Linked DNA regions of Diceros bicornis minor. The protein of the gene in region 3 interacts with the protein of the main gene of each other region in a pairwise test. Links are inferred from orthologs where the notes say so. Each region holds a gene or a part of one and is shown on either strand. Other genes may lie near its edges. The genes, in order: PEF1, CSTF2, TFG and ANXA11.

Evidence for each region.
Region 1: the proteins of TFG (region 3) and PEF1 interact in binary tests that used the Homo sapiens proteins (3 or more experiments, as listed by UniProt). The two-hybrid records come from large-scale screens. The link is inferred for Diceros bicornis minor from reciprocal best matches to the Homo sapiens genes TFG and PEF1.
Region 2: the proteins of TFG (region 3) and CSTF2 interact in binary tests that used the Homo sapiens proteins (3 or more experiments, as listed by UniProt). The two-hybrid records come from large-scale screens. The link is inferred for Diceros bicornis minor from reciprocal best matches to the Homo sapiens genes TFG and CSTF2.
Region 4: the proteins of TFG (region 3) and ANXA11 interact in binary tests that used the Homo sapiens proteins (3 or more experiments, as listed by UniProt). The two-hybrid records come from large-scale screens. The link is inferred for Diceros bicornis minor from reciprocal best matches to the Homo sapiens genes TFG and ANXA11.

Annotation. Positions count from the first base shown.
Region 1 is NC_080752.1:46,549,065-46,556,712, forward strand, and holds the start of PEF1 (peflin), read right to left. Parts: upstream 3,014-7,648; 5' UTR 2,723-3,013; coding exon 2,699-2,722; intron 1-2,698. UniProt on the Homo sapiens protein: Calcium-binding protein that acts as an adapter that bridges unrelated proteins or stabilizes weak protein-protein complexes in response to calcium.
Region 2 is NC_080781.1:93,991,854-93,999,292, reverse strand, and holds the start of CSTF2 (cleavage stimulation factor subunit 2), read right to left. Parts: upstream 3,018-7,439; 5' UTR 2,755-3,017; coding exon 2,694-2,754; intron 2,667-2,693; exon of another isoform or gene 2,505-2,666; coding exon of another isoform or gene 2,504-2,504; intron 1,949-2,503; coding exon 1,870-1,948; intron 1,252-1,869; coding exon 1,082-1,251; intron 394-1,081; coding exon 257-393; intron 1-256. UniProt on the Homo sapiens protein: One of the multiple factors required for polyadenylation and 3'-end cleavage of mammalian pre-mRNAs. This subunit is directly involved in the binding to pre-mRNAs.
Region 3 is NC_080754.1:5,386,164-5,393,071, forward strand, and holds the start of TFG (protein TFG), read left to right. Parts: upstream 1-3,856; 5' UTR 3,857-4,049; intron 4,050-6,908. UniProt on the Homo sapiens protein: Plays a role in the normal dynamic function of the endoplasmic reticulum (ER) and its associated microtubules. Required for secretory cargo traffic from the endoplasmic reticulum to the Golgi apparatus.
Region 4 is NC_080745.1:27,750,259-27,757,633, forward strand, and holds the start of ANXA11 (annexin A11), read right to left. Parts: upstream 3,044-7,375; 5' UTR 2,837-3,043; intron 1-2,836. UniProt on the Homo sapiens protein: Binds specifically to calcyclin in a calcium-dependent manner. Required for midbody formation and completion of the terminal phase of cytokinesis.

The DNA.
Region 1 (7,648 bases), on a different chromosome or scaffold from region 3:
CTGACTCCTAACAATAGGCTGGAATCCTCCAGGGCTATGTACTGGGTGGAGGGGAGGTGGTGCTCACCAAGCCTTTGGACGCTTTAAAAAAAAATACATTTCCTTTCTTGGAACACCATGGACCAGGAGCTGGACAGGCAGACAAGGATATGAAAAAAAGCACTTTTTTGCTATTCCAGCATTTCTTCTTCCGTTCCAGACACGTTTCTCTCTGTGCTCCTTTTCAAGATTTCACTGAGCATAAGCCCAGGCAGCATGGCATGATAACAGCATTTGTAGCAGCGGCAGCACTGGCACACACTATGTGTTAGCAGTGTGCCAAGCTCCCTATAGGCTTTATATTTCATCCTCATTTCAGTCCTATGAAGTCTTATTCCTCCCTTTTTACAAGCGAGGAAACTGAGGCTTAGAGCCCTTAGATGATGTGTCCAAGGGCATGTAACTATTAAGCAGCAGAATTAGGATTTGAGCCCAGTTCTGTCTAACCTGCAAGATCAGGTTCTTAATTTCTATGTCACTGTTTCTAGGATGCATACAAAGTACCTCCTAAAGCTTATTAAAATGTAGACACCTGGCCATTCCTGGGTGCAGAACAGGTCTGAGGTGGAACCCAAAAGTGTGTTTTCAACAAGCTTCTAGGTGATTCTGACGCAGGCTGACTGTTTCCCCAGTGTTCCTCAGGAATACTAGTGTTACCGAAAAATGACCAGACATAAAAAAAGGGAGGAGGAGGGAATTCCATGGTTGGTAAGTTTAAGAAATACTGCATATTCTATCCCTTGTTAGCAGATTTACAATGTATATTGACAAATCAAGAATTCTGAGATGACCTATGGTGAACCAACTTATTCAGCTGTATTTAACAGAGTATTTCCCTGATGCATTTAACCACAAAAATCCTCCTCCATTAGCAATACCTATCAACATCTCACAAGACTCAGCAAATGGAACGGAGCTTGGGAAACACTGCTCGATTATACTTCTTCCTAACCCTCGCCTAGGCTGGCCTCTCTCTTTCCTACCCCTGCTAAGTATGCAATGAAAGGATTTCTAAGTTCTAGCCCGGGCCTCACCCCCTCACTTGCTATGTGTGACCCTGGGCAAGCCACTTAATCTCTCTGGGCTCGTTCCTCAGCTATCAACTGGGGGTAATAATCCCTGCCGGCATGCCTCCAGGGCTTCATGATTGAGATAATGGAGGTCCAATACCTGTACAAAAACTGTACAGGGCTACACTCCCTCAGAGCGCTCTTGCCACATCCTTTGCCATGTGACTGTACTCATCGACTGCTTTGTAATGTCCCATACAATGTTGTCTTCCAATTTTTCCTGCATGGGTTTTATCTCCTAAATTAGCATGATCTTGGGCAACTCAGTAGCCCTCTCTGGGCTTCAGTTTCCTCCTTTTAAAATGAAGGGAGTGGGCCAGCCCCGCTGCTTAGTGGTTAGCTGCTGGCAGCCTGGGTTCGGATCCCAGGCGCGCACCGACACACCGCATCTCCGGCCATGCTGAGGCCGCGTCCCACATACAGCAACTAGAAGGATGTGCAACTATGACATACAACTATCTACTGGGGCTTTGGGGAAAAAAAGGAGGAGGACTGGCAATAGATGTTAGCTCAGAGCCGGTCTTCCTCAGCAAAAAGAGGAGGATTAGCACGGATGTTAGCTCAGGGCTGATCTTCCTCACAAACACAAAAATAAATAAATAAAATAAAATGAAGGGACTATTCTGAGGGCCCTCCCAGCACTGACCTTCTAAGAATCTGGTAAAAATCAAAACACTGAGAGGTAACACCTGTTACACTCTTAGTAGTACCAAATGCTTTACAAGCATCACTTCATTACTCTTCCCAACAGCTCTATGAGGTAGACTCTATTATTTGGTCCTATTTTACAGAGGAGTTAACTTCAGCTCAGAAAGGCAAAATACCTTGCTCAAGGGCTCCAAACTAGTTAAGTGATGGAGCTAAGATGTGAACCTTCCTCTGACTCCAAACTGCACTTACCCCTCCACACTTCCGTCACCCAGCAAAGGATTCTGGCCACAGAACCACCTCGCTGCGGTGTTCTTGGCTGGATCGAGATGGGTTGGCAAGTGGGGAAGAGGCACTGGCTGACAGCTCTGGGTTCTGCTGCCTAACTGCCTAGTCACTTCAGCTAAGTTCCGTGTCTTCTCTGGGTTTCATTTTTCCTATGTGTGAAAGGAGGCGGGTGTTGGACGAAGTCAGTAGTCAAAGAAGCTCACCTGTGGAGCCTGCTAAGCCACAGAGGCTCCTGATTATTCGGATGCAGTACGTCTGGGGTGTATTTTTATCCGACGCCCCAAATGATACCGACGGAACTAGCGTCTAAATGTTCTACTGGCGTTGATGACCCCGCTCAGGGTCCCCGCCGGAGACCTGGGAAGGTGTGGGGCCAGGCCGAGCCCAACCTGGGTCTATGAGATCCAAGTCCCCCAAATCCTCCCGTGCGCCACGTCAAAGGGGGCGCGACACGACCTCCCCGACGTGCAGTCCTACGTGACGTGACAGACGCGACCGACCGTCCCCTTTCCCTTCTCTTCCGCGCGAGACCTCGCTGAAGCCAACCGCAGCGTGGGAAGGGCGCGAAGAAAGCGGGGAGAAAGGAAAGCGAGGTCCCGAGCCCGGACGTAGCGAGGCCCCTACCTGGATTCCCCCGCCCCTCACGCACTCACCTGCCCATAGGGATAGCTGGCCATGGCGACTCTGACGTAACACGTCGACGAGGGGCGGGGCTTCCTGGTTTCAAACCCGTCCCTTGTCTGGGCCTAGGGGCGGGACCGCTTTCGATTGGATGTCCGCGACTGTCAATCCTGGGCGCATGTGTCGACGGAAGTGACGGTATAGGGCGGTGGTCGAGTGACTCCGGAGAAGCGGGAGGGGCTTCTCCTGAACGTCGGCGTCCTGTTTCCGAAATTTTGTTCGTTGTGTTGGCGCGGATGTTTCTCCCACTGCTGCCCTAGAGTAGGCCACAGGGCTGGTCAGTCCCGGATATTTAGTGAGAGGCTTGGGTGGGTGTTGCAGCAGTGGCCATGTTGTAACCTGGCAAATGGGACGCATGATAGTGGCGTCGTTGCTGTCGTCACTTCAAGTTTCCGCCGCCGGAGGGCTTAGGCGGTTGCCCTGACAACGGGGAACCGCCTGAGGCCTCGTGGAAAGGCTAGAGGCAACAGCGGAAGTACAGATGTTCCTCTTATGATGAGGAACCCATCCTAAGTTGAAAATATCTTAAATCAAAAGTGCGTTTAGGGCCAGTCGTGTGGCGCAGTGGTTAAGTGTGGGCGCTCCGCTGCTGACGGCCTGGGTTCGGATCCGGGCGTGCACCCACGCACTGCTTGTCAGGCCATGGTGTGGCGGTGTCCCACATAAAGTGGAGGAAGATGGGCATGGACGTTAGCTCAGGGCCAGTCTCCCTCAGCAAAAAGAGAAGGATTGGCATGGATGTTAGCTTATGGCTGATCCTCCTCATAAAAAAAAAAAAAAGTGCGTTTAATATACCTAACCTGCGTTTAATATACCTAACCTACCCAACATTGTACCTTACTTAGCCTAGTGTACCTTAACCGTGCTCAGAACACTACAATTGGGCAAAATCGTCTAACACAAAGCCTATTTTATAATTAAGTGTTGAATATCTCATGTAATTTGTTGAATACTGAAACTGAAAAAATAGAATGGTTTTATGGGTACAGAATGGTTGTAAGTGTATTGGTTGTTTACCTTGGTGATACCATGGCTGACCCCTTTGACTTGTGGCTTGCTGCTCCTGCCCAGCATGATGAGAGAGTCTCATACCACGTATCCCTAGCCTGAAACAACATCAAAATTCTAAGTATGGTTTCTACTGAACGCATATCACTTTGGCACCATCGTAAAGTCGAAAAATCATTAGTCAAACCATCCGAAGTCGGGGACTGTCTGTACTTACTCTCTAATGTTGACACCACATGCCAGTTAGTACCTTTGAGTAAGATCTGTGGTCTTTGGAGAAGAAAGTACCACACCGTCAGAGTGGGAGGAAAGTTAGATCATCTAGGGCCTTTTCTTTCATAAATGGGAAAATTGTGGTCCAGAGAGGCTTGCCCCGGTTCGCAGTGGGTTAGGGCAGAGTGTGATCTAGAACTGAGGTCAATGGATGCCCGGTTCTCAGCAGAGTCTTGACTGGTCCCCAAAGTAGGTCAGATCCTGGTTACAAGTGACCTCATAGTCAAGTACTTAACTTGCCTCTTGGTAATTCGGGCTCTACACTTATTTGAATGCTTATTCGACTATTTTGTTAAGTTCTTTCATGTGGGCACAGATTGTGTCTGTTTTTACTTGTTGTTATATCCCCAGTACCTAGTACAGTGCCTGACACTGTATTTTTTAAAAATAAGTAAGTGAGTAGTGTTATGAGGTGTTATCCATTCCAGCCCAACTTTCTAACCATCTAGCCAGGCGCTTTCCAAAATCACAGAACCAATCATGATGCTTGCCCACTGGACAGCCTGCAATGGCTCCTCTTCATCTCCACCTAGAAAATACGGCCCAACCGCTTTATTCTGGCACTCCAGGCCCTTGACCTTTGGCCCAACCTCACATTTCCAAACTTATATCTTACATCCCCTGCCCGTCTTCCCCTCTGTACTCCTTTGTTCAGTTCCACCATCCAGCACTCTTGCTTTGGAGTGAGGATCTTGATTTACTGCTTTCTAACTGTACGACCATGGGCAAGTTATTTAACCTTTGTGAGTCTCAGTGTCCTGGCTGTCAGAACAAATATGTAAAGAGATTTGAAAAAGAGGCTTATCACACCTGCTCATGCCCAGGCTTATGCCCAAACCACTCCTTTCATCAGATCAGCAGCCTTCACATCTCCAGTCTTTCAAAGCTCAGTTCCAACCCCACCCCGCAACTACCCCTCCCTCATTCCCGCAAGTCCAGAGTTAGCCACTCTCTTGCCTGCCTCCTTTTGCACTTGGTACTGTCACTGTGCTATATTCCAGCCTGCCTTGTGTAAGAGTTCTCTTTGATATTTTTCCCAAAATCCATTCCTCTCCATCTCAGAAAATCCACCCAGTCTCTCAGGCCACAGACCTAGGATCACTCTTGTGTGGTCTCTGTTTTTCCACTAACTTCCCCACCCCCATTTGGTCTAGTTCAGAAATAGACCCTGCTCTATTTCTGAAATAGTAATACTAGAAATAGTAATACTAGTAACTAGTATTACTAATACTAGAAACTAGTAATACTAGAAATAGTAACATCTGCTCTTTTCTCCCTGTTTGCGCGATCACCCTAGCCCAAGACACCATCCTTTACGGCCGGGATCACTACAATAGCTTCCTGACCCATGGCCCTGCTTTCACTTTCCCCCACACTCTGTTCTTCGTAGGGCAGCCAGAGTGATTGTCTTAAATGTAAATCAGATAATGTCATTCCTGGGTTTAAACTCCTCCAGAGGGTTCCCGTAACTCTTATAAAATCTAAACTCATCCTTATGACCTTCATGGCCCTATATGACCAAGACCCTGCCTGCGTCTCTGCCTCACTTCCTGCCACTGCTGTCCTCCTCAGTTCACTCCAGCTGGCCTGGTCTCCACACCAAGCTCATTCCCACCTCTGGATTTTCAGATTAGCTCTTCCCTCTGTCTAGAATGCTCTTCCCTAGGCACTTCACTGGCTGGCCCCTCCTGGCCATCCAGGTCTCAGTTCAACTATCACCTTCTTGGGGGAACATTCCTTGATACTACGTCTAAAGTAACATAGCCCCCACTGCCACCACATTCTAGTTGTCATATCACTGTGTCTCATTTTTTCATGATACTTGTTGCTAGTTGAATTGTCCTCTTTAAAGTTTACATGTGTATTGTAGGATTGTCCTTTTCTTATTCACGCCTCTATCTCCAGTGCCTAGAATAGTGACTGGCATGAATTCAATAAATGGTAGTAGTTATTATTATTATTATCCTGTATTGAATGCTTACTAGGTGCCAGACATTGTGCTAAGTACGATGTGTTGTTTCATTTTCACCACAGTCCTTTGTGATAGATTCTATTACCCATTATAATGAGGAGCTGAGGCTGAGAGAGACTAAGTGACTTCCCTACTATCAAAAAGATAATAGAGAAGTCAAGATTTGAACCCAGGTCCACAATCTTTTAACTGCTGGGTACTTAGTAGGTCTTGTGTTCTTTACTTTTGTAACCACCTCCCCTCCAAGTCCCCAGAATAGGTGGAATCGAATTGCAAAATCTCAGAAGGGGAGAAGTCCTGCAGTCTGGGCTGACAGTCAAGGGATATTTGCTGGGAGAGAGAATAGTGACACTTGGCCTGCAAACTGGGGTAACATGATGCACATTCATTTTATTCCACAAACGTATTAACTTAGTGAGTTCCCATCACTTGCCAGGCTCTGTTCTAGGTGCCGAGGATTAGACTCCTATGAGAATTTCACACCCCAGCCCTCTCTGCTCAGCAAAGGGCTCTTAGGAGAGCGTTCTGTGGGATATCTGTGCTCTCTGGGGGCAGGGCATCCCAGTCATCTCTCGGGCAGTCAGAGACCAGCCAAAGCCAACGTCCTGGGCTACACCTCTGAGGACCTGTGGCAGGCCCAGGTGTGTTTATTTTGGAGAGGAGTGGAAAAGAGGGAGATGGGGATCTTCCCAAGACTGAAAAACAATCAACTCATTTCCAAAACCTCAACTACCTGAGGCCGACAGAGGTGGGTGGGGAAGTTCCTGTTATTGTTTCATCTTTAGCCAAAGGAGAAAGCTTGGATTCCAGCCCTTTTTAGAGCACAGAGCACTTTCCTGAGTTCATGGAAGCACTGTGGTTGAGCCATTAGAGGGGAGGCAGAGCTTGGTAACGGAAGCCCCATCCCCTGGAAAACATCGCCTCCCCTAGAGACATACCATTCCTCCCAGGCATCCTGGCTCAGCACCAGGCTCCAGTATCGCTTATTGAGAAGGAATACCAACACCCACTTAATTATTATGGAATTAATTCTCTTTGATTCTGACTAGCTCCAGTTCTGAAATTTAAATTCCAGTTGGATGCTTTGGATCAGAGGGTGATTTGCAGCTTTCCACAGAACCAACAGAAAAATGAGAACAGCAGACATGGCAATTTGGCTGCACTCCCCTTCCATTATGGGATCATATGGAGAGTACATTGATATGTTCTATTCCCAGAGATTATTCAGGACAACGACCTTAAGATCTAGCCTTTTAAGGGGTTAACAGACCTCATGTGAAGAAAGAGTGTAAATAGATTCTGTTGAATTCTGGTGAAAGGGGAAAATATTATGACAAAACGGAAGATTTAAATTCCAGAAGGCATCAAATTTTGGGATTTTTGTTTGCAGAATAAATATGCAGCAATTTCTCCATCTTACAGAGTAGAAGGTCTCTTCAAATTAAGGACCCTCCAGTCCACTCTTCACACTGTCGTCAGTGAATTCTCCATTAGGCAAACCTGACCCCACACGCCCTCTCATAAACCTGTGCTTCCCACTGTCCCCCTGCTCACGCTCCGCATTCCGACTGCACTGTCTCGCATCATCCAGCACGCTGTGCTCCATCATCTCTGGACCTTGGCATGTTGCTGTTCCCTCTGCCCTACATCAATTTCTGTCTAGACAAGG
Region 2 (7,439 bases), on a different chromosome or scaffold from region 3:
ATCTACATCTGATATCTATGGGCCACAAAAACCCAGCCAGATTGTGTAGGTGTGTTGGTGTAACAAAAATGGAAAGCTCTTTGCATGAAATGTGAAATACACTGTGCACATATAGAATATTGAAGGTGCAAGAAATGGTGGTCAATAGGCACACTTTCTATTTGAGCTCAGAGAATCATTTCCATTAACTTTATTAATTAACTCCTTGTAAATCTGATGTGATTTGATTTATTCATAACCTAATGCCTCCTCCCACCTTCATCTGTTTCATCAGCTCAAACATCTGCTCTGGTGGAAGACTGGCAACTGCTTTGCTAATGGACTCAGGGGCATCCTCAGGACTGATGGTCTCTCCATAAGGTGATTCAATGACAGGGGCACCAGTGCCAAGGCCTGATCAGGAAGAAAGTACAAAATGGTTAAGAAGACAAAATAAAGAGCTAAACCACTTCAAGTATCTACTTTCCAGGGCTGCTGTAAGGACCTGTTGATAACTTTAAATTCTCTGGAGCTGAGAAATAAGTGATTTACGAGTCTCTTATTTCTGTGGAGGAAGTGAAGGAGTGTATTTTCTGCTCTCAGAGGAAAGCTGGGACACATGGGTGGACAATGTTAAATTAGGAATGAGGCATATCGATTTCTTTTGACAAGTCATTAAGCAAAAGATTTAAACAGAAAAGGATGTTAACCTCAAAATGGAATTCCTGGATCTATTACCTCATGAAAAAAGTCATAAGAACGCCTTAGTAGTCCCACCATTTACAGATCTGGCATAGTTACAGGAATGGCAAACACTAATGACATAGTTAACACTACTAATGGCTTGGTAAGCCTGAACTCATCTTTAACTGGAAATCAACTCCCTGGCAACTGAAGGACTTCTAAAGTCAACTCTCTAAAGTCAATTTTACCTTGTCTCTCAAAGATATACACTTCCCTAATGCAGGCATTTCAGATGGGTCAAGTAAAGAAAGTGTGTGGCTAATCACTTCAGCAGATGCTAAAACATATCATAAATGGAAAATCTTCATTGTTACATCTTTACTAACTCATGTTACATACAACTTGGGTTTATACTCACTCTTTAGCTCTTCTTTGTTCTTTTCACTGGCAGCATTGTCTACTCGAAGTGCTCTCCCACTGAATTCACGCCCATTCAGGTTTCGCATGGCACTAAGTGCCGTCTCTTGGTCTTGGTATTCACAGAAGCCATAACCCTTTGGTTTTCCTGTCTCCCTATCATATACCAATCTGGAGAGCAGAACCAAGTATCAGGCACAAATGTTACATACACACAGGGTTCCTGCTAACGTTGCTATGTCCTGATCTGGTCCACTGTAAGACAAATAACCTCATCACTCTGCCTCACTGAAATATTTTTTAAACATTTTTTTAAATGAAAAAAATGGGGGCCGGCCTGGTGGCAAAGTGGTTAGGTTCACGTGCTCTGCTTCGGTGGCCCAGGGTTTGCAGGTGTGCATCCCGGGCATGGACCTACACACCGCTCACCAAGCCATGCAGTGGCGGCGTCGCATATACAAAATAGAGGAAGATGGGCACAGATGTTAGCTCAGGGCCAATCTTCCTCAGCAAAAAGAGGAAGATTGCCAATGGATGTTAGCTCATGGCCAATCTTCCTCACCAAAAAAAAAAAAAAAGGAAAACAAAAAAAAAGAAAAAAAATGTACCTTTTAGTAAAATTAAATGTGAATTGAATGGTACATGAATTATACCTCAATAAAGCTGTTACAAACAAAAAAAAAGAATGCATGTATAAAGTCACCAGTAAAAACCTTGCCACTATTACTAAGGGCCAAATTTGTGGGGCTTTTTAAGAAACTCTCACCAAGGAGTAAAAGGGGATCTCACCTGAAACTAACAACAGGTCCAACCTCAGAAAAGATGTCCTTTAATTGCTCTTCAGTAGCCTCATATGGAATGTTCCCCACTAAGGAAGAAAATAGCATATTAAGTTCTGAGTTTGTAACCTAGATCTTTATAGTGAGAAAGTACACAGTGTCTACTTATATCATTGAAAATGTAACAACTGGCTCAAAATATGGTGTTTCTCCAATCCCAGTTCTGTGGTACTCCCTTAGACAAGATTTCAATCTTGCCTGCTAACTTTAATTACAAGAGAAATAAACCACTGAGACTAACTACAAAAGGTGTAGGCACTCCTAAATATCACTTCTCAGACTGATCTGACAAGTGTTAGATTTTCTTTAACTTTGGTGAAAATAAATACTTAGGCATTGGTATTTACCTGAAAGTCTCCAAGTCTTAACAACAACAACTAAAAATATCAATATTATAATTTTTAAAACCGGCTTCTATGTCCGTATTTCCACACATACACACACTCAAAGGAGAATGACCATGAATGTAGTGGAGGATGTTTAAAAATTATTCTGAACTGTTTTGTCATGTCCTTCCAAAAGGTGCTTTAAATCATCACATGTACTTTGATAAAAAAACAACTTATTTCGGCTGAAAACATTACTCAGAATAGATTCGATCCTCTTTAAAATTTCTTTGACGAGGTCTTAGTCGTTCATTCATTCATTTATTTACAATCCACCTTAAGATGCCAGATGGTCGCTACCGTTATCGACGAACTAAAATGTTAGGGGCAAAAAGCAGAGAATGAAAGTCCTCATGAGAAGGCGGAAAGTGGGCACAAGGATCTATACCTTCAGCACATAATCTGTATTCTGGGACAGGGAGTGAGAAGTAGTACGGGACAGTTGCCATGCGCCCTCGCTTCTAGATAATAATTGAAGCTCATGGAAGGAGAAACACATAGAAGCTGAACGCTATTTAACTTCCTCAGGCACATCGTGGAAAGGCTGCGAAACCTCGGGGTTAGGGGAGCGTCACTTTGCCCACGAGTCCACCAGGTTGGCCGCCCCACAGGATAGGCAGGTAGAGCTGCACGCCCGACCCACAACCGGCTCCCGCGGCGATTCACGAGGTGCAAGGGACACTCCTCGCCATTCCCTCTCTTTCTGTCCCCCACCGATGCTTGGCTCCACCGAATTCCTCTCACCGAACACCGAACGTAGAGAACGATCCACCGCAGGATCTCTCGCAGTCAAACCCGCCATCGCTCTCTTCCGGCGGCTTCCGGTGCGCCAGAACACACTTCCGTACGGCGCGCGAGTCCAGCGCCGAATACGCTTCCGTACGGCGCGTAAGCCGGAAGCGCCTGGGCCGGGCGGACAGCGGGCCCCTCCCCTGGCGTTATTCCGTCAGCAGCAGGCGCGCGTTATGTCCACGAGAGCGCTAACCCACTCTGGCTGGGCTGTAGCTCCTTTCGGAGCCGGATTCCGGCGGCCCCAGGCTCATTTGAAGGATTTTAGTTTGTAGAATTCCTTATTCATTTTTTTAGGCTAACAAGTAATCGTCGGCCTCAATAAAGATGGCGGTAGCGGTTTTACCATGGTAAGGGAAGTCGTTTGCTAACAACCGGTACTTTCATTTTAATCCCGCCCTGTTAGGGGAGGGGAATACTTGGCCCCGCCCACCAGCGTGGGGATTATCATTTTGTAGAAGCTGTGAGTGTACGGAGTGAGATGCGGAAAGAGGGTCGCGGCAGCTTGAGAGAGTGAGGGGCTCTCGACGTGAAGGCGCCGGCATAGCGGAGGAGATGGGGAGGTAAAGGGAGACGTGCCTGGCTGCTTTCGCATAGCCCCTGGGCTCCGTGTGTTTGGCGGTGGTGAGGCGGTGGGGCGGCGGAGGACATTGGCAGGCAGGGTATCCGAAAACATCATTGACCGGTGGGACACAGCAAGCAGCTAAAGCATGGTTTGAACTCAGGTTGCTTTGGCTCCAGAGGCTGAATGCTTAACTGCTGTATTTTCTGCCTTCCAGTATAACTGAGAGAATATGGATAGCTCAATATACTTTATTACCATTTTTGGAAAAGAACTGAGAGCGTGTGACCTGGTGATGGTGGGTCAATGACTAATAGTAATGAACCACTCAAGAATGGGTTGAGGCACTTAACCTGGCCTGTTCTGCTGCCATCAGCCGTCTGTGGAGAATGGGTTGTTGGTTCTATCACTTCATCAACCAGCCCTATTCTACTAGTTATAAAAGAGGAGATGTGTGGGAGGGATATTTCCTAAGCTTTTGCTTTTCAACATTTGTGTTTCGTTTATAGGCCATGTGCTAGTGACCCCTGCCTCAGTGCCTGTTGTCCACGAGAGTCTTCCTGTCACTGCAATGCTCCCAGAGTGACACATTTCTTTTGCCTCTGGGTTATAGAAAAATGAAGACAGAAGGTGGGACATTGGATGCTGTTGTAGGTATTCTGACTGAGGCTCAGTTAACACAACGATATAGGTGCAGTATGAAGAGGTAGGGGGAGAACTAGGAAAGATGCATTTCTACACAAATGGGGCTAAATATATAGAATAAGTGTTATTTTGGGGGGTTTGAGCAAAAGAGAAAGGGTACATAATGGAGAATCAAAGAATTTGGGAAACCACAGTTAAGATTTGTGGGGCATTGGCAGAAAGTTTTGTGGAAAAGTCCTGAGTTCTTATCCTATCTTGTTGATGATGTTAAGAATCTTGGATAAGGTACAAGTGAAGCAAGCAAAGATGTTCAAGATTGTGAGAGCATAGAGACTCGGGTTCTTTCTGCTGGCCGTAGAAAGTCAAACTTCCAAGGCCAGGTAAGTACTACTTCATGTTTGACCCACATTTAAAGCTCCTCAAAGAGTCATGGAATGAAATCCCTCATTGGTCCTCCAGGGAATATCTGGAAAGGCAGCAACTCCTGGATAGACATATTGCATGAGAAAGATTCCAGATGGCACTGTAGCATTACCTATGTTAGGAGAAGTCCTCAATGAGCAGCGCCTAAAAGAGCTAAGGAAACTTGGGTCTCTCAGAGAGCACCTGAATGCTGACACAGATCCTGGTCAGTATCTGGGTGTAGGTACCAAGTGGCTTGCTTTGCAGAAAGAAACACCATTCCTAACTTTTGCACTACTGCATTATCACACTGGTTCTGCAGCAATATCTATGCTTTCTGGGAATATGTGAGGGTTCAACTCTGAGGTTACAGAGAGTTGTCCAATCCATCACAGCTGGTCATTCTAGTCTTGTGATTTTCATTTTCATTTTTTTTTCTTATCTAACTATTTTTGTTCTCAATTCATGCTTAATGAATACATTTCCTTCCCCAGAATCCTCTTCCTTCAAAGAAATTTCAGGATTGTTCACCTGCTCAAAGAGATATGCCTTATGAGATATGTTGCTGGGTAGCAAGCCAGGGAGTTAGGTGGTCAACTGAAGTGGAGGAATATTTACTTTGTTCTTGGCAATGCCATGGTGACCTCCTGTTGCTGAGTGGGGACTGCTTCCAAGCCAAGCTTTGGGGAAAACTGAGTAAAGAGGAGAAAGTCCCTGAGTTTTTTTCCCTAGAATCCACCAGGCTTGTCTAAAACTTATATCTATTTGGAGGCTTGCTCTGTTTCAGAACCAGAACTATGGGACACTGTTGCCTTGGCACATGAAATCCAGGATTTAGCAAAATGGAGGTGGATATCATTGGACAGCACTTGAACTCCAACAGTATACTGCTGGGTGAGCATAGCTGGGTAGAGCATGTGGGTAATGGGATCAGGTTGGGGTAAACAGGGTGATAATGACTAAAAAGAGCTAATGTTTGTGAAGAGCCATATAGATTACAAAGCTTTTCTACATAGATCTTACTTGATTCTTATAAAACCTCAGAGATAGTTTTAGTTTGCTATTTTTTTTTTAAAGATTTTATTTATTTATTTTTTCCCCCCAAAGCCCCAGTAGATAGTTGTATGTTATAGCTGCACGTCCATCTAGTTGCTGTATGTGGGACGCGGCCTCAGCGTGGCCAGAGAAGCGGTGCGTCAGTGCGCGCGCGGGATCTGAACCCGGGCTGCCAGCAGCGGAGCGCACACACTTAACCGCTGAGCCACGGGGCCGGCCCTGCTATTTTTTTTTGTTCTAGTGAAATACACATAACATAAAATTTACCATTTTAACCATTGTTAAGTGTACAATTCAGTGGCATTAAGTATATTCACATTGTGCAACCATCATCTATCCATCTCTAGAACTTTTTTATTTTCCCAAACTGAAACTCCATGCCCATTAAACACTAATTCCCCATTCTTTTCTCCCTCCAGACCCTGGCAACCATCATTCTACTTTCTGTCTCTATGAAGTTGACCACTCTAGGTACCTCATGTAAGTGGAGTCATAACAGTCTTTTTCCTTTTGTGACTGGCTTGTTTCACTTAGCCTAATGTCTTCAAGTTTCATCCATGTTGTAGCATGTGTCAGAATTTCCTTCCTGGGCCGGCCCCGTGGCTTAGCGCTTAAGTGCGCGTGCTCCGCTGCTGGTGGCCTGGGTTCGGGTCCCGGGCGTGCACCGATGCACTGCTTCTCCAGCCATGCTGAGGCCGTGTCCCACATACAGCAACTAGAAAGATGTGCAGCTGTGACATACAGCTATCTACTGGGGCTTTGGGGGAATAAACAAATAAATAAAATTATAAAAAAAAAAAAAGAATGTCCTTCCTTTTTAAGGCTGATTAGTATTCTGTTGTATGTATACAAACAAACACATTTTGTTTATCCATTCATCCGTTGATGGACACTTGGGTTCCTTCCACCTTTGGCTATTGTGAATAATGCTGCTATGAACATGGGTGTACAAATACCTGTTTGAGTCCCTGCTTTCAATTATTTTGGGTATATACCCAGAAATGGAATTGCTAGATCGTGTCGTAATTCTATGTTTAAGTTTTTGAGGAACCGCCTTACCATTTTCCACAGTGGCTGCACCATTTTATATTCCCACCAGCGATGCACAAGGGTTCCCATTTCATCCTCACCAACAGTTGTTATTTTCTGTTGTTTTTTTCTTTATGATAGCCACCCTAATGGGGTGAAGTGGTGTTCCATTGTGGTTTTGATTTGCATTTCCCTACTGTGTTGGAAAAACCTACCATTCTCCTCTCCTGTGTGTCTCCTTTACTTTCACACAGAGCACTTCACTACTGACAATTCTGGTCACCAAACGTGTGGGGGTTTTTCCCCACAATAAGCAATTCTCTGTGACACCTGCTGGGTATCCTACACTTGAACTCAATTCTGCCACTATCTACTTGGAGATAGCATCAGATCCCACAGGTTACAGGCTCTGCCACAAGACTGCCTGCATCCTACTTCAGATGCCAGTTGCAAGTCCAGGTTGTCTTCTGTGCTTCTCACTGATTGGCTATGAATCAGAGGTTCCAATGACCCCCTCCTCGGGTTCAATTAATTTCTTAGAGTGGCCCACAGAACTCAGGAAGACAGTTACTTACATTTCCCAGTTTGTTAAAGGATGCGAGAAATGATACAGATGAACGGCCAGATGAAGAGATACATAGGGTGAGGTCT
Region 3 (6,908 bases):
TATTTGGTCTTCTGGAGTTTCTCCTTCTGTCTGGAGTTCTCTTAGTTAGCTGACTGCCACCACAACAGAGCTGATTCTTAGGGAGTCACATAACTTCTCCTTTGAAAATCTCACCCAAGGAGGAACTTACAGCCTTTCTTTGGTTCCCCGGAGGGTAGCTGAGATTAAAAATTTCAAAATGATTTATACTAACTACTAAAGGAGAACATGATGAAGCACAGGTTTCATCTCACTTGCTTATAAGGCTCATGGGCTTTGGCGCATTTCCTGTCCAGGCTGAAATCTCCCTTTTTCATTCTCAGGATTTCCCCACTTGATTGAAGAGTTCTAGCCACAGAGACTTTGATGGAGAAAGAGCTGACTCTCTCCCTCAGAACCACAGGACAACTCTCTCCCTTCTTCAGATGTCCCTGAAGCACAGAGAGTAACCTTCAAACGTAGAGCCACATTTCCCCCCTTGGTACAGGTGAGGTCAAAGGTATTTCCTCACACTGCTTCTCCTTTCTTCACATATTCCAACTTGCACACTTCTGATTCAAGGCTATTCTTGGTGCTCATTTAAGACCAAACTCACCTGGACATAGGACAGAGGGCCACGTGAGCACGAAGCTCAATTTACTCTGGTTCAGTGTCTTTCTAAGCGCCACACAAAAAGGAGGGGAAGATGTTTTCTGACTAAGAGCACTTTAAAGGTGTGATTACTTATAGAATTCCTAGAACCATCTTCTTAATGGCTTGATTGAGGCTTATCCCAATAAATGTGACCATAAGTGCTTAGTAAATGATAATTGTATGATAACAGCCTTTTGGCTTCACTAACAAAAGGCAGCAGTAACTAAAATCAGTGTCTACACGTACAGTGGGAGAAACCACGTTCTTGGTAAGGCTGGTAACTGGTTCAATTCAGGTTATCGCTCTCTGGTCAGTTATCACCTGCATTTATTGGGAGCATAAGTACAGAGACCTCTATCATCAGCAACTGTGGATACATTACAGAAACTAATAACTATTCCCTTGACTCAACAGATATTCATTGAATGCCTGCTAGTCACACAGGGCAATCAATGCCAGTTGCTGGGAGGGGTAGAGAGAATATAATCACTGCCCTCAAGTGGGGTGGAGGCAGGGGTGGTGAACAAGCTTCTCAAAGACAGAATTATAAGTAAGGATAAGAACAATCACATGAGATTTCATAAAGAACTAAATGTCTAATTGTCAAACGTTTGGTACAAAGTCAGGGTTATAATGTAGTCCTCATGGTCTTCAACAAGACCACAAAGAGATACCATTTATAGTCGCCCACAAAATAAAAAGTCTCAATGATACCAACAGTTGGCATTATCTTATAGTTAAATATTTGCATAATCTACCATTCAGCAATCCATGTATTAGCATATAATCAAGAGATACTGTTGTACCAGAGACATATACAAGAATGTTCATGGAGGCATGCAGGAGAAACTGGAAACAACCTAAATATACTTTGATAGGAAAACAGATTCAAAAAAATTTGTGGTATTTTCTGCCAAGGAAATATTACACAGCAATGAAAATGAACTCCAGCTATATGCCACAACATGGATATATCTTAGTAGCATAATATTGAGCACAAAAATTATGTCCCAGAAAACCACAGAGATGATACTAAATATAATATCTATAAACAAGTAAAATTGAACATATTCCACAGGCATACATATATATGTGATTAAACTATGTAAAAGATTGAAAAAACAACAACGAAACCAAGGGATTGTGAGACACAAAATCCAGAGCGGCATGGGGACTACATGGGGGAGGAGCACATAGCAAGACATCATTTATTGATAATGTTCCAATCCTTGGGTTGGGTAGAGAGTTTCAGCTGTTCACTATGCTCAAATTAATTTTTAAAATGTAGTTGTTATATAGGATCAGGAACACGTTTTTGTGGACAATTTAGTATTAAGCTGCAACCAGAAAATGGGCAGAATATGGTTTTGGTTATTAAGGTATTTATAACCTAACAAGTCAATTTGACAAACTCAGATGATCATTTTGTGTGCTTTTCGATACATGCTCTCATATGATATATACATAAAGCCAAATGTCCTCCATTTCATGCTCAATCACAATATTGTAAGCCTACATCCAGCTGGATAGCAGGAGGCAAAATCTTTTACAGTTTTTTATTAAAAATTTAAAAATGTACATTTCTGGAGAATCCTGGGGAAATGCTTTAATGTTGCCTACGTGTCCTTCTTGTCCCATGTCACCTGAGCCTCGGATCTGGCTTCCAAATGATGCTTTACTTCCTCCTTTCTCACTTCTTGCCTCAGGCAGCTCCTGCTTCTGCTTTGACCTGAGGAATCATCACCACCCCATCTCTCAGTTTCCACAGTGGCAGCTGGGAACAGGTGTAACATTAAACATGACTTCACTAATTGCTTGGGCATGAAGCATGAGGGAATTGGCAACATAAAGAACCTCAAGCTGCTTTCCGAGTCCACAAGCCCCAGCCCCTCCAGAAGACTACCTTTTGAGTGTAGTCAAAGGTACACTTTGACTCGTCCTAGCTTCCAGCTGGCCCCAGTGTAACAGGGATCAGTTTATTTCTCCTCAGCGGCAGGACTCTTGAATATGTGCCCCTTTCCCGGGAGCCTAGAGAGAGGAAATTCTTTCCCCTCGTTCCAGGCTAAGGTTCATCACCTTATCTCCCGCCCCAGGATCTGATCTCTTTCTAGGAATATTGACGGCGGTATAATTCACTTCCTTCAGGGAGAATTTTACCTCTGCCATATTTGTCTGGTTTTATCCAATCTCAAACCATCTCAAAGACATCAGAATACTATTATTGGACAGCAGTTCTCTCCCCAAGTTTGGATTACTCAGTTCTAAATAACAAGCAATGAAGAACAGTCTTTGGAGAAAATCAGCAACTTTTTTCATTTCTTCTACGGTCCTCGCTCCCCAATTTCTGCAAGCATTTGCTCAAAGAGCAATATACACAGGGTTGCAAAATACAATTCAGAAGCAAAAAGCATTCTAAACTCACACATTTCACTCTCACATAGAATTTTTCAGACTTATAACTGCAAAAAGATCACACTATTTACACTACTAAAACTTCTCACCCTGAATTACTCTACCCCAGGTAAAGTTGCTTGCATCTTTTAAAATAGCACCGCCCCCCCCCCCCTGCTCGCCCAACGTAGGGTTCAGTCTTAGCCAGGGCGCTTCTTAACATAAATACCCGTATTCAAAACAAACGCTTTAGCTGAGAAGGAAAGAGTATATAGGGCACGCTCAAATGCCTTATCCTCCAAAAAGGCTTCTGGAATCCTTAATCCGCCTTCATTTCGCAGCGTTTACCCTTTACACTCATAGGTCTGTTCTGTCTCGTAACCGCTCCTGGAAACTGCTTGCTCACAGACTGATTCATCCCCAGTCCCAGCACCCTGCGTGGCAGAGCGTAGGCGCCAACAGTGAATGAATGAGTCTGCAGAAGACAGGCGGGAAAAGCGTTCGCTTCTTTCGCGATACGACTAGAACTACAGTGGTCACAAAACAACAACAAAAAAAACCACCCAAAATTGGACAAACACCCACTTTCAACCGGCTCTCAAAAAGAGCCCAAAACAGCGAACTACACGCCCCGACAGGCGCGAGACGGTAAGCGGAAGCCTTCCAGAAAACCGGAAGTGCTGGTCACGCCCCGCGCATGCGTGACCCCGAGCCGCTCACACTTCCTGCGCTCGGTCATCCAGTGAGAAAGCGAGGACTGCGGCCCACGCACGCCCGGGCCTCGCCGGCTCCGCGCCGGCGCCGCTGCGCATGCGTCCTGGGGTGGCCTGTCGCCGTGAGGCGGGGCGAAGGGACAGATTTTGTTCTTGCTCCCGCCCCTCTCTTCTCTACCTGCCACGTACTGGGCCGAGCTCTCGCTGGGCTCGGTGGGTCCGCGCGATTGGCCCGGCCCGCCGAGGGGACCGAGTGAGCCGTGAGCGCAGCCTCCCGACGCCCCGGAGCCCGGCGTCCGGCCAGCCGAGACCGCGAAGCGGCCTCGGAAGCCGGTATGGCCGCTGAGACGGAGGCTCGGACGAGGCGGGCCCCGGACGGGGAAGCGCGGGGAGGGCCCCGCTCGAGCCGGCGGGCGGCGGGGCCGGAGCGGCCGTGGAAGGGGTCGCGGGCCGGGAGGGGGAGGCCGGGTGGGGCCCGCGGGGGGAGGGGAGCGCTCCGGGGTGGAGGGGGTCCCGCAGGCCCGGTGGCAGGGCGGCGGGCCTCTGGGGCTCTGGGGCTGTTCGGGCCGGATTCCGCCGGCTCCAGGGGTCGCACTGGCGAGCGGGAGCTGTGGGAGGCCGGGGGCGAGCGAGCGGCCCCCGCCAGAGGGCCTGGGAAGGGCGAGGAGGGCGGAGAATGGCGCTGTGGGAATAGTGGATTGGGGTCACTGGAGAGGAACCTCGTTGCTTCGCTGTGTCAGCGCTGAATCAAGCGCCGTCGGGAGGCCTAGCCCAGTTTTACAGTGATGACGATCATGATCGCTAACTTGTAAGAGTTTACTTTGTTGGGCGCTAGACTGAGTATTTTAGATGCATGATCTCCTTTAGTCGTCACAAAGATCCTTCCAGATTTAGATATTATTTACATTTTGCACATGATGAAAGTGAGGCCTGGAGAAGTACTTGCCTAAGGGCACACGGCTAGTAGTGGGAATCTTGACCATCTTGCTACACTGCCTCTGGTCAAGCAGGATTTGAGGCTCCTTGCGTTCTTCGGAATAATCAAGAGTTGATTTGCTTAGAGTTTCTTAGAGGAAATTTCTACCCTCGGGAGGAGCCTAATCAGGCCCCCTGATTTGAACCGGGCCCTACCCACCGGGTTAGTCGAGCTTGAGGTTTGGCCACTGAAGCTAGATCCTGGTTCAAGAGGCAGGCTTTTTATTTGCATTTGGGCAGTCGCTTTATTCTCCCGCCCTGAGAACAGTGTTCCTGTTGGAAGGTTTCATAAGTTAATGGCTGTGTCATTTCTGGACTTGAGAGGGAGTGGGGCAAGGACAAGATGGGAGAAGAAAATGCTGTAAGGATCTCACCAGCAGTACTGGGAACTAGTGGTTTATACCAGTCTCTACCTTGTGACTGAAGTTAGAGAAAAACAGGACCTGAATTCTTCTGTTACATAAAGAAATTGGGGATGGGATTTCCCCCAGCAGGGAAAATTCTGTGGCACCCTTAGTTTTGTGACAGTGTGCATGCCTTGAGGAGATGACTGCACACACTGGGGACAACCTTGAGGAAGAAGCCCTAGTTCAGGCCGCAGGGGGTTTCCAGTCCCTAAGAAACACCAAGGAATAAGTGAATTTGCAGGCAAACATGGGTGATACAAAGTAAGAGAGACTGATGTTGTCACATCCATTGGAACTGAGCAACAATCCCCCCATAGTCAAAAGGACATACTATCAATTATATTCGATGTTGGAAATTTCTCTTAATTAGGAGTATGTGTATTGTGGGGAGTCACTTCTAGTTACATAAAGAAGGTACAGTCTGAAGGTCTGTCTTAGGAACTGACCTGAGCGTACAGCTTCTTCCAATCCCTGTATTAGAACTTAATTATTCCTCATTGATGTTTTGTTCAGGAAACAAAAACAAGCCTTTAAATACCTGCTATATGCCAGGCACTATTCTAGGTGCTACTGAGGGTAGATAGTACCATCTTGCTGAGGCTAAGCCCTGGTCCTTGACTATGTTATTGCTGGTTTACATATCCTGTGGGTAGGAGAAGGTAGCGTGCATTGAGTTACTGAAGTTCTTTATTACTCTCAGGCTGTAAGGCAAACAAGGTGGAATCTGGACCGTCTTCTTGAAGTAATTATACTTCAGAGCTTGGCACATCGCAGGTATTCAGTAGCTGTTTCCTGAATGAAGAGAGCATGTTTGGCTAACGGGTGAAAAGGTCCTATGGAGGTTTCAGTTAATCACAGTCTTCATGAGAAGTCCATTATGAGAATTGGCAGATAAAAAACTAACCGTATCTTATTTTACATTACGACAAACACACCATCCAGATCGTGGAACACAGTCCGCTCGGTCCTGCACTGACCTTAGAGGGTTAGATTCAGTATGTAATGCCTCATTGCATTAAAGATTTATTAATAAAATATAATCTGTTCAGAGGATGGCAAGGGGGTCTAAGACATTCATTTAAGGAATAGTCAGTAGGAAGGACCTAGGGCATTTATATGAAGAACTTTAGGGCATTATATGTAATATTCATGAAATGAGTTAGGACTCATGAAAACTCAGGGTTGGTATTTGAAGGGTTGGTGTTTTGGGATGGTGGGGTGCTTTCAAACACATACACACACACAAAGAATAATTGTAGAGAAGTATGAAAACCAAGTATGATGTTAATGAAATAACAAATTTAAGAGGAGAAAACAGAAAGCTGCCAGTAGAAAAGCATGAGATTGAAACCAGAATAGCCAGTAGGAGACTGTAGGGCGCTCTGAACAGTCTGAGAGGTCGTTTACGTGGGGCAGGAGGAGAAAGGAGTTGATGCTGGGGAAGTGCAAAGTGGTGTTAGATAATGTATTCAAGAACATCTCGGTCTTGAAAACAAGAGATAGGCCTTGAGAAGAAGAGATATTAACACATTATTTAATCGTGAGTGTTTTCTCTATTATATAGTAACCATTTAAATTACTAGAGACTTGAGACATTATTTTGAGTTTAGGATTACAAAGTCATTACAGGATGCTCACACTGAATAACCTGAAATAAAATTGAACTAAAACCCAAGAGGGGGAAGTTCTAAAGCAAATTAGTATTTAGTGGTCAGTTCTCTGACAGTCTTCTTTCTTTTCTAAAGTGTGCACTCTGATCTTACACACCCACTGAGGTCGGGGGGGGGGGGTGTGCATTATTGGATGTGTA
Region 4 (7,375 bases), on a different chromosome or scaffold from region 3:
CCACGCACAGACCTACACACTGCTTATCAAGCCATGCTGTGGCAGGTGTCCCACATATAAAGTAGAGGAAGATGGGCACGAATGTTAGCCCAGGGCCAATCTTCCTCAGCAAAAAGAGAAGGATTGGCAACAGATGTTAGCTCAGGGCCAATCTTTCTCACCAAAGAAAAAAAAACCACAAATTCCCAGCAAGGAAACTTCAGTTCCTTCATCTTCCCTGAGAGCTTTCCTATCTAGGTATCACTCAAATTCCTGGTGTTCTAGGGGCAATGGCATCAGAGGGTGTTGAAGAGAAAAATGCAGAGAGACCTGAGTCTGTTTGCTTGGCTGTAATTGTGAAACACACACAGGCTCTCCCCTGAGTACCCCCAAAGGACCAAGTCCCAGGAACTGTTTCAGGCTTATGGGGGGAAGATGGCAGCTAAGAGGGAGGAAGAAGGAGGTGATTCCAGGAGAAGAGGGAGCTCCACAAAGGTCCTGGGCCCTCCAAACATCCTCCAGCACTGGGCGTGGATTTCATTTCTACATTCACCTCCTGCATGCACCAGCTTTTTTTTCTCTGTTCTGCAGTGAATTCCCGAGAAGAACCCCCACTAACCTATTCTGGCTCAATTCTCACTCCTATCATCCCAAACTACCCATCCTTCCCCAAATCATGTGACCAAGGCATCTCCAATCCATCTTGGCCTTCTAGGTACAGCAATCAAGATGGGGCCCACGGATCATCCTTGCCCTGGCTACATAAAGGAATCAAAGGGAACTCCACCTTGGCCTCTCAGCCAGTGCCTTCTCCCACTTATCAGTCTGGAATAATTTTTATCTCACTCTCCCCACTTTTTTTTTTTTTGCCTATCCAAACCCAGCCTTCAAGGTCTAATATTTTAACAACAGGGAAATCTTACTTCCCTGGCCTGGCTCTTTCACTCAACTAACATCTTCTGAGCACCTACATGAGGCAAGGCCCATCCTGGGTGCTGTGAGACCTAGAGATGAGTAAGAAACAGCCCCCACTCTCCAGAGACAAAGAACAGGGCAGAGATAAGAAATGTGGCCATACAAATACTACACAAGGAGAGAGCGTCAGTGCCAAAGGAATGGAGGAGGAGGGCTGCGTGGGCTCAGAGCATGTCTTGTCCCTTCCTGCTGGGAGCAGGCACCTCGGTGGCTCCCATGAGGGCGGTGATTAATAGGCAGAAATGGGGGAAGGAGGGCATTTCAGCATGAGCTAAGACAGAGGGACAGGTCAGAAGGGGAGCAGTTCAACTCAGCCAGATCTTCAGCTGCATGAAGGGAGTGGTAGCTATTATTACTATATTATTATTGTTGATACTCACAGATGATTACTTATGCACCAGGCCCTGCTGTAAGCTTTATGTCTAATGTGAGTGACATCTACCTGGGACACACAGGTATGGTGTACCAGTCACCACCTGTTCTGACTGCTCTTTAGTGTCTGAGCTGTAAAGCTGTTAAATATAGTAACGCACTGAATCCTCACAATAACGCTGGGAGGCAGATATTGTTAGTACCCCCATTGTCAAGATGAGGAAACCAAGGCACAGAGACTGGTAAGAGACGAGAGTAGGGAGGGATGCAGGAGCCCGACGTAGTGAGCACCCGATGCCCAGGGCAACAAACTGCCCTGGCACCTCAGCTGGCCTCTCTTGTCAGGGAACTCCTTGTAGCACAGCGAGTGCCCTGAGGCAAGAGCCCATGTTAATCCTCCTGGAATCCCCAACAATGGACTGAAGCAAGGAAGCAATGAAGGAACATAAGGAAAGCCAGGTACCCGTGAGCAAGGTAACACACCCTGCCTGTCCAGCTCGTGGGCTCAGCCTGGCCCTGGCCTGCAAGCTTTGGTTCCTGTTACGTGGGCAGGGCAGAGGTTCACCCCTCACAGCACCACTCCATGCCCAAGGGCAGCAGAGAGCAAAGCAAAGGCTGGGAGGGAGGGCAGAGTGGCTGGCTACCATGGATACCTAGAGTCTGTCCTAAAATACGCCATCTCCATAGAAAGGTCACTGATTAGAGGGGCAGGGACAGAAACGTCCAGGGCAGACTGTTCCTAGCTTGGGCTAGCTCTAGCTAGCTTAACTCCTCTCCAAAGTGTCTAGATGACAAACTTCACAACTCTCCTTTAAGCCAATATGGATTTCTGCCTTTTTAAGCCTTCAGAGGGTTGGGCTGAGAGCCCAGGGGGAGACAAAAGTCCAAGAATCCTTCCCTGAAATTGTAGTTCAAGGCTGAAGAAGGGGGAAAGGCAGAGACGGTAAACACACAGGTGAACACAGCACCAGGGATGGATCCTGCATTCTCTCAAATAAGGTGCCTTACAAATCAACTCCAACACTAGCAGCTCCCAGGAATTTGCGTCCTCCCAGTTCCAGAGGAAGGTTCCTGAAGGCAGCCTCCTCTATTATCTCTCCTCAGCACAAGCCTTTCCCAGAAGGGCGCGCACACTCTCGAGAACTCAGCTGGGTCGGAGGGCCAGGGGCCACCGGCCACCCCCCACACCAGCCAGTCGCCTTCTGCTCGCTTGTTCACCTGGTCCCAAGCCGGCCCGGGCCGCGCTGGACAATCACGTGGCCGTGGACCCCGGGGCCCGGCCTGCGCACCGCCCACCCCACAGGGAGGGCAGCCCCCGCCGCTGGTCTAGCTAGGCAGCCAGGCCGACGCCCGTCCGGGACCAGCGCGACACCCGTCCCCGCCCCCATGCCGTGCAACCAGGAAGCCGCCGGGAGGGGGCGCGGGGCCGTCCGGGCCTCATCTGCGGGGGTCGCGGCGCCCTGCCGCCGTCCCGTCCCGTGCCCCCGGCCGGCTGGGGACCCTCACTCACCTGGCCACTGGACACGGGGGCTGGGGGCCGCGAGGGACGGACGAGGACGCGGGCGGCAGCGGCTCTCTCTGCGGGCGTTCGGGGTGCGGCGCCTTGGGTCGGCCTCGCGCTCTGTCCCACTCCCGTCCTCGGGGCGCTCGGGGCACTCGGGACGCTCCGGACCCGCGGGCGCCGCAGCCGTCAGAGCGGGGCGGGTGGAGGAGCCCGCTGGCCGGAAAACTCGGCGGGCGCGCCCGCTCTAGGCTCCCCGGGGCGGGGCGGGGCGGGGCTGGCCGTGGCCCCGCCCCCAGGTGAGAGCCGGCCCGGGCCAGTGGGCGGGGACCAGCCTCCGCGAGGCGGGGCAAGGAAGCTGCCCGTCTTCCGGCTCCCGCGGCCGGACGGAGGAGGACGCCGCGGAGCCCATACGCCACCCGCCTCTCGCGACCGGTCCCGCCCTGCACCGCGCTAGGGGGAGGAATTCCCCAAGCCCTTTCCGTCCCCTGTACCATTGTTAGTGACTCTTTAAGGTAAAGAAAACTTGCTGCATTAAAAAAAGTCACACAGTGTGGAAATGGGGGTGGGGGTGGGAAGAGTAGCTTTACAGTAGAGAAACCGGACAAACCACCTCAGCCAGGTGATCAAGGTCAACGTGGAATGATAAATCCACAGTGATAGTGTGTCCCCCGTTGTGGTCGTCCTCCCAAGAATACATAATTCCCGTCTGATCGTGAGAAAAACATGAGAGAAATCCCAGTTGAGGGGTATTCTGCAAAATTCCTGACCAGTACTCCTCAAAACTGTCAAGGTCATCAAAAACGAGGAAAATCTGAGACACATACTGTCACAGCCAAGAGAAGCCGAAGGAGATATAAAAATTAAATGTAACGCGGTATCCTGGTGAAAGGACATTAGGTAAAAACTAAGGAAATCTGAATAAAGTATGGATATTAGTTAATAATAATGCATCAGTATTGGCTCATTCATTGTAGCAAAAGCACCATGCTGATATAAGATGTTAATAACAGCAGAAACCAGGGTTTATGAGAACTCTGATTCGCAATTGTTCTGTAAATCTAAAACTATTCTAAAAAATAAAGTTTATTTTTTAAAAAAAGGTCATTCACGTAATATATGAATATATGGTAGTTATAAAAATATATGAATATATGGTAGTTATAAAAGATTTTTTTAAAACTGAGACTGACTTCACTTCCCTAACCCACTTTTAGGTGTGCCCTTCCAGATCTTTCTCTCTACAACACACTCTGTTTGTTGTGTATAGTATATCCATGTAGATGTATTGTTTACAAAACAGTGTTGCAGTTATTTTCCTGCAGTGTGATTTTTTTACTCACTGTATCTTGGAGAGCCTTTACATGCAAGCGCACCTGGATCAACTTTTGTTCTTCCTAATGACGTGGTCGAAACCTTGTTTATGACTTGTTTTACAATTTCCAATTCTTTCCATGAGACTTCTTTCAGTCTCGTCGCATTACTCAATCGCCTCTGGCTAGGAGCGAAGAAATTTACCTTCAGGGAGGCAATCAATGACTTTACTCTCCTGCCTATGTGTTCCTTGAGGCATATTGTACCTTGGAATGCAAGGACACATCTCCTTCATCCGCCCCCATACCCTAATCTTTGAGGCTAACCAGACCACCTAATACTTTCTCTTTTGACATTTCTATAGAATACTAAAAATAGCTAAACTGGTATATAATGGCCCCATACAGGTACTTCCATGCAGCAGCTCTCTACTGCCCATGGGTCCTGTCCCCACGCTGAACACAAAATAGAGGTGCACGAACCACCGAGCGGCTGGTGTCTGAAAATTCTTTTTCGACTCGAGACTCAGCGGCCCCACATCACTAACTAATGCACAGTATGCGCCGTCGTGCGCGTCGCCATTCTTTATTACCTAGTCCTTACTGAAGGACATTTGGATCGTGGCCTGTTTGGGGCTGTTAAAAACAACGCTGCTGGTCTTATTGGCATTTTAACAGGGCACGAAGCGGGAAGGACTGGACGCGGTAGGCCGAAAAGGAGGCTCTTGCCTCGGCTCTGCCCCGGCAGGGGGGCGGGTGCCTGACAGAAGCCGTGCCCTGGGGCAGCCCGGCCGCAGTCTCACTACAACGCTGGGGACCCAGTCATCGTCCGCGGCCTCTCCAACATGCCCCCTCCCTCAAGGCGCGGCTCGTTTTCGGGCCTGGACCGCATTTTTTGGAGATGAGTGGACGAGTGAGGGGAGACTCAGGCCGGAGGCTCCAGAGCGACTCGGAGGAAACGCTCCCCGGAGCAGAAGAGGAGCGGAGGGTCTGAGGCCCCGGGAGACTCTCCCAGGGTTGGTTATTACTCTGGGGGGGGGGGCGCCCGGGGCGGCGCAGGAGCGGGCGGGACTCGGGGCGCGGGCGTGAAGCCCCCAGCGAACCGGCGGCGTTCCGAGGGAGCTTCTCTTTCCCGTCGCGCTCTCTGGGCGGGGGCACTCGTCCTGGAAGGTCACCTGGCACGCACCCAGTCCCCCCCTTCCTGGTCACTCTGCGCCCTCGCCCTCCGCCGCCGCGAAGGCGAGCTTCTTTGAATGGCGCACTTTCCTCCTGACTGAGCGAATGCTTCTTTAAATATCACGTTAAAAAATAATAAATCATTTAGGGTGGAATTCCTTCTGTATGTAGCACACACTTTCCTGCTTCAGAACTGAGCTCTTCAAGGCCCAAACGATAAATAGCTACCACTGTGCTCACCTTTTCGTGATTTTCAACCATTTGTTTTCAACAAACCCGTGTTGATCCCCAACTCGGTGGAAACACCATGTGGGGGAAAAGACGCTAGATTTGGTGTTCAAACACCTGGGTTCCGTTCCCATTCTGCCATTTGGAAGTGATGCGTTCTCCCAGCCTCGGTTTTCTCGCCTATAAAATCTTCAAAATGATCTATAAAAATATGTAAAATAACTCCTGCTTCATTCTTCTCAGAGCTGATACAAACATCAAATGAAGGAAGGGAAAGTTAAGTGCTTTGTAACTTGGTGAGGTGCCGTAGAGCTCTGAGTAGTGTTACCGCACAAAATTGGGGTTCTCTCTGCCCATGCGCATAAACAAGCCAATTCGTTACGGCATCAGCCTTTGGCTGGCGGGGGGTGGGGGGGCTGAATCAGCTTTTATTCTGCAAGACTCATCTGCACTGAGACACGGGGCCTGTGCCCTCAGGTCTGTCTCCCTATTCAGGATTTGGGTGAACTTGAACAGGTTAGAGAGAACAGGCTAGCACGTGGAAATGCTGGTGGGACAGGTTTTGATTGGTGGGCTTTAAGCATTTATGGTAAGGTTTTAAACATTTATGACACGGTTCTAAACATTTATGATGGGGTTCTAAACATTTTGATGAGGTGGGGAAGGAACTTTAACACCGGATCTTCCTGAATGAGGGACCCCTCACTTCCAATAAAAGTCCAAATTTCAAGTTCTGCTCATGTCCTGGTCCTTGGATTCCTGGGGAGGAGAATCTTTGGTTCTGAGGTCGCTTCAGTTCACGATTTCTTCTTTTGCGCACGCCCTGACTGCATGACTTTGCAGTTTTTCTGAAAGACAATTCTTAATCACTCTGTTGATAAGAGATGGGGTCAGTTGAACTGATTCTGGAGGGCCTGCAGTTCAAGTAGTATAGTATTATTATAATCTTTCTTACTTTGAGTCATTCAACAGACAATGGTTGAGTACAGCCAATATGACCGGCCCTGCACTTGGTGCCAAGGAAAGAGGGACAAAAGAAAACTCCTTTGCTCTAATACGGGTCTTCATCTGATGGAGAAACAAATAAATCGTAAATACCCCACATAACAGAGGGTTGCAAAAAGGATCCCTGGGGTAGGTGAGAGGATGGGATCCAGAAAGGCTTGCCAAACTTGGCAAAGAACCAACCTTTAATTGTTTAAATCATGTTAATTTTTAAAAAATTATCTATTGTTTTAATTTCTGCTTTTATCTTTGAGTTCTGTTCCTTCTTTCTTTGGGTTAGCTCTGGTGTCCTTTTTCTGGTTTCTGGAGTTGAACATTAGGGTCATTTATTTTCAGAATTTTTTGTTGTTTTCTAATAAATGTATTGAAGACTATATATCTTCCCCTAAAACCTGCTTTAGCTACATATCACAAGTTTTAATAAGCCATGCTTTTGTTTAATATGCCATGTTTTGCTATCTCTCAGTTATGAATACTTCTTTTGTTTTCCATTAGGATTTGATCCTTAATTCATGGATTATTTAGAAGTGTGTTTTCCATTTTTGGAAAGTTATGGCTTTTCAAAAAACAATAATTTCAGGGGCTGGCCCTGTGGTGTGGCGATTAGGTTTGCGTGTTCTGCTTTGGTGGCCTGGGGTTCGCTGTTCAGATCCTGGGCACAGACCTACTCACTGCTCATCAAGCCATGCTGAGGCATCCCACATAGAAGCCATCTCACATAGAAGAGCTACAACTGTACAACTATGATACACAACCATGTACTGGGGTTTTGGGGAGAAAAAAAAAAAGGAGGAAGATTGGCAACAGATGTTAGCACAGGGCCAAT